Linked DNA regions of Macaca mulatta. The protein of the gene in region 1 purifies or fractionates together with the protein of each later gene. This does not show direct contact. Links are inferred from orthologs where the notes say so. Each region holds a gene or a part of one and is shown on either strand. Other genes may lie near its edges.

Region 1 (2,434 bases):
TGCCGCATCTTTGACCTGGGCGGCGACAACGAGGAGGAGGTGGCTGGCCCGGCCCCCGCCCATGCCAAGGAGGGCTTGCGGCACTTTCTGGACCGCGTGCTGGAGGGGCGGGCGCAGCCACAGCCATCGGAGCGCGTGCTAGAGACCAAGGTGGCCGAGCTGCTGGCCCAGGGCCACACCAAGCCCCCTGAGCGCAGTGCCACAGGCGCCAGGAGCAAGTACCTCATCTTCACCACTGGCTGCCTCACCTACTCCCCACACCAGATCGGTACACCCCTGCCGCCATGCTGCCCGCCTCGGTCCTAGCAGCTTGGGGGAGGCCGGGCAGGGGTCCTGGGGGGCAGACGGCAAGCAAGTTCACAGGCACAGCTGGGATCATTCACTCACCCCGGGGTCACAAGCCCAGACCTGGCCTCGTCTGGGGTCTGCGGGATGAGCGGTGAAAACAAACAGGCAGGCCCGCTGGCCAGTGAGCAGCTGAGGGGCCTGATTCAGGTCTGGGGCCCCCGGAGCAGGCAATGCCCGCAGACCTCTGCGGTGCCCACAGCCCCAGAGACACTGTTGGGGTAGGGGGCTGTCCTGGAGTGACGTCCCCGGGGCACTGGGCAGGGACCCTCACCGCAGCCCTCCCTGCAGGCATCAAGCAGATCCTGCCACACCAGATGACAACGGCGGGGCCCGTGCTGGGCGAGGGCCGGGGCTCTGATGCCTTCTTCGACGCGCTGGACCACGTCATAGACGTGCACGGGCACATCATTGGCATGGGCCTGTCGCCCGACAACAGGTGGGCCTCTTGCCAGTGTCCCAGGCGGGGTGCCCGCAGGTGGCCCATACCTAGCACAGTGCCCCTCGCCCAGGTACCTGTATGTGAACAGCCGCGCCTGGCCCAGTGGTGCGGTGGTGGCTGACCCCATGCAGCCGCCACCCATCGCGGAGGAGATTGACCTGCTGGTGTTCGACCTCAAGACCATGCGGGAGGTGAGGCGGGCTCTGCGTGCGCACCGCGCCTACACGCCCAACGACGAGTGCTTTTTCATCTTCCTGGACGTCAGCAGGGACTTCGTGGCCAGGTGCAGGGCGCAGCGTGGTGCAGGGCGGGCGTGGGCGCAGCAGGCGGGCGACCGGCTCATCCAGGCGCTGTTCTGCAGTGGGGCGGAGGACCGGCACGGCTACATCTGGGACCGCCACTACAACATCTGCTTGGCCAAGCTGCGGCACGAGGACGTGGTCAACTCAGTGGCCTTCAGTCCCCAGGAGCAGGAGCTGCTGCTCACGGCCAGCGACGATGCCACCATCAAAGCCTGGCGCTCCCCACGCACCGTGCGCGTCTTCCAGGCACGTCGTCCGCGGCCTCGCGCCTTCTTCTCCTGGCTTGCCAGCCAGAGGCGCTGAGGGGTGCTGCAGGGTGCACTGGAGCCGCTGGGACCCCTCGACGCCACCCAGGCTCTGTGGTTCTTTCCCGAGCGGGAGAGGTGGAGACGCTTGTAGCAGTTACGCCTTAGGAAGGGGACAGCCAGGCCCCGCCACGCTCTCACACGCAAACCTGCTCACGCAGCTGTGATGCTTGGCACAGGGTGGCCAGTGAGGTTGGAAGCCAAGGTCCCCTTGGCCTCCTGGCCAGCTTGGGGTGCACAGGATACTGGGGGTGCCGCTCCTCGCTCATCCCTAGGCTAGGGGTTCACCCGCCCCAGCTGGCCTCAGCCTGGGGCACCCTCGGCTGGTCCTGCGGGGCCCTGGACAGTGGCCCAGCAGTGGCAGAGGCTGCTGGCTCTGGCAGCCTGGCTGTGGTTGTGCGCCCGGGGCTTGGGAGCGGCCAGTCACACTGCTGTGGGCCCGAGTGTGTTGCATGTCCACGCACCACCCGTTCAGGGCCCTGAATAAACAGTTGGCAACAGCACGTTGTTGTTCAGTCTCTGTCTGCAGGGAGGGAGACCATGGGCCCCACTGGCACAGTGGAGCGGATCTCGTCACTACTGACGGGTGACGTCACCGCTGGCATAGTGGCCCCACTGGAGTGGTTGTTGCAGTCACTGCTGACAAGTGACATGTGCGTCTGAGGTCATGTACTGGTGCCAGACTTTGTCACACTGCCCTGTCCCCCCTCTGTGACATCCAGGGAGATGCCTGGCACATCTGCCGGGGCTGGCAGCATGGAGGGCCTGCTGATTCCAGGGTCAGTAGGCCGCGTCGCTCCCAGTGCCAGGGCAGCCTCCACAGTCAGTCCCGTCCTTGAGGGAGTGCCTCGGCTGCTGGGGGCAGGGAGGGTGTTGGGCAGAGCTCCTCAGAGTTCATGCCGAGGAGGAAGGGACCAGGGGCCCAGAAGTGGCAGCAGAGGTGCAGCTCCAGCTGGACGTTGCAGGCTTTGTCAGAGCTGCACCGGAGCTCAGGGGGCCCAGGGTGATGGTGGTGACAAGACGGCAGGAGGAGAGCCTGG
Region 2 (3,917 bases), on another chromosome or scaffold:
TGAGCCTCCATGCCCGGCCCCGAAATCTCTTTTAAAAGTAGGCATTTCTTGGTGATTCTAATAAAGGGGGTTCTCAGACATATTTGGAAAAGCATATACCTACTTTTACGCCAGACCCTGTGCTGGGGCCCCAGGCTAGCTGTATGACCTGACACTGCACAGTCCTGCTTAGGATGCTCAAGGAGAGTTTATAAGGTATCACCCTGCATACCATAGGCAGGGGAGCAAAGGGGCTCCAGTGGGCCCTGCCTAGGAGGCCTGAAGCTGGAGCTGCTGAGGGCAGGGCTGTGCTGCTGAGAAAATATCTGAGAGCTGCAGGCGTTTCATCTTCTGTCATCAGCTGTGGCACCTGGCAGACACTGGATACCACAGCTTGTAGACAAAGACCTGGTAACTCAAGAAGCTGCTTGGCATTCCTGCCCAGTCCCATCCCAGAGGCACTGTACGTCTCCGGTTTCTTCAGGGGGCCCTGTGTGGAAGTATCTTTTGTCTTCCTGTGTCAGGGATACCATCACGTGCCTATTGGCTAGACGAGCCCGGCGCCCAGTCTCCTAGGACAGGGAGAATAACGTTCCCGAGCAGAGCGGGGTGGGGCTTTCAGACTACTCCCGTTCCTTTACTGCAGGCTTCATTCCATCGACCTCATCACAGCCTTCCTGGGAGCACCCCAGACAAGAGTTCTGTCCAGGCCGGGCCCTGGCTGCCTGGTTCACTGCCGAATCCCCAGCACCACGCCTCGCATGTCGGGCTCAGAGCATGTTTAGTGAAGGAATGGGTACCTATTGCTAGATGGAAGCCATCTCTCTAGATTTGGGGTTTCCCTACGACGATGGCTATTTTTGGCACGGAAGCCTCTTTAGAAGTCAATAGTAGGAAATAAGGGCTAACGGCACCTAACTGTGGAGTAATGTTCAAATCCTGGCTCTGCCACTTAACCGTTCCGAACCTGTTCCCTCACTGCAGAGGCGAAAAGGCTAACACTATTTCACCTCGGAGGGTTACTGTGGAGAATGGAGGCTGGACAAGCTGTATCAGTTCAGTAGTAAAACACACACACACAAGCGCCCCCCCATCCCCACCCCAGGAATGAACACACACACACCCGCGCGCGCACACACATACACCTCAGGAATGAACACACGCGCGTACACACACACGCAGCCCCTCCCAGGAATGAACACACACACACACGCGCGCGCGCCCCGTTCTGTTGTTCCCAGGAACACACACATAGGCGCACACACGCCCCGTTTTGTTTTTTCCAGGCCGTTTAGCTGGGGTATTTTACTCGGCTTAGGGCGCCCCTGCCTGAAAGACCTTTCTAGGCCAGTCAGGGTTCGGCACCCAGTTGATGAGAGAGCGCGGCGCTTTCAGAGCTAGGGAAAGGCGAAAGCTCTCCCGTTCCCCAACCCCCCGGCCAGCCGCCCCGGCAGCTCCTCGTCGCCTCCCGGCCTGGGCCCGCCCCGCCGTCTTCGGCCTGCCGTCAGGCGATCTCGGCGGCCAGCCCAGCCGCTGTGTGACGCCGCGCGCCCCGGGGTCCTCGGCGCCTGCGCCCTCTCCTATAAAGCAGACGCCGCGCCGCGCCGAGAGGCTGTAGTGGCTTCGTCCTCCGCTTTTCTGTTCCTCCGCTGACGTCTCCTAGCTCTCGTCAGCCTCCCGCCGGCAGTCTCCTTAACACCGAACACCGTGAGTAGCCGCCCACTGAGCTGGAAAGGGTCGTGGCTCCCGGATTGCATGCAGGCTGGCCTCACTGCTGCGGTTTGGGCCTGCCCGCGGCGGGCGGTGACTGGGCCTGGCCTTCTTTCGGGCCCGGTGGATCGTGTTGTCGACCCCGTTCTTCGGGAGACACCATCAGGTCTCGTCCACCCTCTCCGCCCCCGATTCAGCGAGGCCTGCTCTGGCCGCGCGTCCTCACAGCGCTCCATAAGTGTGAGCCGAACCCCGGGCTGGGCTTTCTCTGCACCGGCCGAGCGTCAGCCGGCGCAGGCTCGGCTGCAAGGCCCAGGCTATGGCCGGGGGCCTCTCTTGGCCTTAAGCCTGCTGTCCCGGGGACTAGGGCGGGGGTGGCGGCGGGGTTGTGAATGGGGGTCCCTTGGCTGTCGTGAGCATGGGCGTGTGTCGGTGTCTGGCTTTTGTTGTGGTCGGGAGGGAGAGCTGCGGTGGTGGTCTGAGGCCGCCCGGTTCTTGGCTGCCATCCTTTCTCCCCCGTGTCTGGCGTCACTAGCTACCCGTCGGTCCTGGCTAACTGTGTGCGGGCGCCGAGTTTCTGCACATAGCCGCCTGTTCCTTGTAAATATTTCTTCGCGTTGTTTTGCTATGACTTGGAGTCGTTGAAATAACTATTGTGATAGCAGATACCATCTTCAGAGTGGTGTGACTTGTAAGAGCTGTGTATAACTTAACTCGAAGTGTCTGGCTTTTAAAGAAATAGGATGTCCAGCTGCTTTGGTTCACTTTTAGTGGGAACTTCACGTTTGGGTTTTAGGAACATGCATTTTTCCATTAGAGCGTCACAATAGAATGTATCTGTGTCATAGAACAATAGTCTCCTCCACTGTGCAGTCTAAAAAGCAGTGGCAGAATTTCGGGTCACTTAAAACGCAGGGGTTTTTTTCCCTTTATGATGTGATAGAACCCACTTTATGCTGGCCATGGAGAATTATTTACAAGTGCAGGAGCCTTTAGGCCTCTTTCTTTAGAATGGAATTGTTTTGAAAACATTTCAAATCAAAATTTCATCCATTATTACTTAAAAATTTTGCACTTTATTCTACTGTAACACTAAAACTTATCTTTTAGTTTAGTATTACCAAGTGCATCGAATTACAGATTTAACCGATTACCTACCTGCTATTTAGTAAGATCTCAACTCCCTTAAGAGTAACCCAATCCACGAATTTGACTATGACTAAGCACTTGAGTTATTTGAAAGAAATATGAAACGGTCGTCTTGCTTTTAGAGTAATTTTATCAACTGCATTGTTAGACTTGTGATTCTGCACTGTTCATTTCAGTACTATCTGATATAAAAATTACATGTTTAAATGTTTTATAATTAAAAATTGGACTCACGTTAAAATATTTTCTTTTGGAGATACCTTTTATTGTTGTCTTGTCACAGGAAGGGTCCTCTACTCTGGGTCCTTCTTCATTGAGCAGGGACAACGGCATTATTGGCAAGCGCTAAGCAACATGGAGAAGCAGACATGTTTGTGAATTGCAAAGTGAAATCTGATTCTCTCCAACCATGGATGAGTGAGAGTAGGATATTTCAGTGGCTGGTTTTAAAACACGCTTTACTTTTTTGCTTCCTTTGCCTAAGAACCTGTTTGCTTTGGGGTTGCGGACAATTGTCTCAGAGAAGCTGAATGAATATTTTAACCGATGTAATGGGTCATAAGTCTTTGAACATAAAATGGGTGTGATGCATGTTTTAAATGCCAAATGATACACTTTTGTGAAAATATATGCGATTTTTAATACAACACACCTAGAAAACTTCAGAGGTACCATAAGTTAATAGTGACATCATTGGATTATGAATACTTGAGAAGCATGGGCCTTTTAAAAGTTGTATGTGAATTTTAAGAGGCCTTGAATTAATCTGTACCAGGTATTGCTACTCTTTTTGTTGTTGTTTTTCTTTTATGTATGTTTTCTTTTTTAAAAAAAGAATTTGAAGATGGTAAGAAATTGTTGGACTTTTAATTTTAAATTCCTTTTTTTTTTTTTTTGCCAGAACTCAAGTCCTTTGGAATTAATTGCTTAACTTTTTTTTTTGACACGGAGTCTTGCTCTGCCACCCAGGCTGGAGTACAGCGGCGCGGTCTCGGCTCACTGTAAGCTCTGCTTCCTGGGTTCATGCCATTCTCCTGCCTCAGCCTCCCAAGTAGCTGGGACTACAGGCGCCCGCCACC

What was found.
Region 2: the proteins of FBXW5 (region 1) and SKP1 purify together in Homo sapiens (affinity purification with western blotting; 16 studies listed by BioGRID and IntAct, with this or other methods). This does not show direct contact. The link is inferred for Macaca mulatta from reciprocal best matches to the Homo sapiens genes FBXW5 and SKP1.

What each region holds. Positions count from the first base shown.
Region 1 is NC_133420.1:5,525,995-5,528,428, forward strand, and holds the end of FBXW5 (F-box/WD repeat-containing protein 5), read left to right. Parts: coding exon 1-268; intron 269-636; coding exon 637-784; intron 785-857; coding exon 858-1,070; intron 1,071-1,148; coding exon 1,149-1,392; 3' UTR 1,393-1,897; downstream 1,898-2,434. UniProt on the Homo sapiens protein: Substrate recognition component of both SCF (SKP1-CUL1-F-box protein) and DCX (DDB1-CUL4-X-box) E3 ubiquitin-protein ligase complexes.
Region 2 is NC_133411.1:143,076,592-143,080,508, reverse strand, and holds the start of SKP1 (S-phase kinase-associated protein 1), read left to right. Parts: upstream 1-1,586; 5' UTR 1,587-1,686; exon of another isoform or gene 1,687-1,855; intron 1,856-3,917. UniProt on the Homo sapiens protein: Essential component of the SCF (SKP1-CUL1-F-box protein) ubiquitin ligase complex, which mediates the ubiquitination of proteins involved in cell cycle progression, signal transduction and transcription.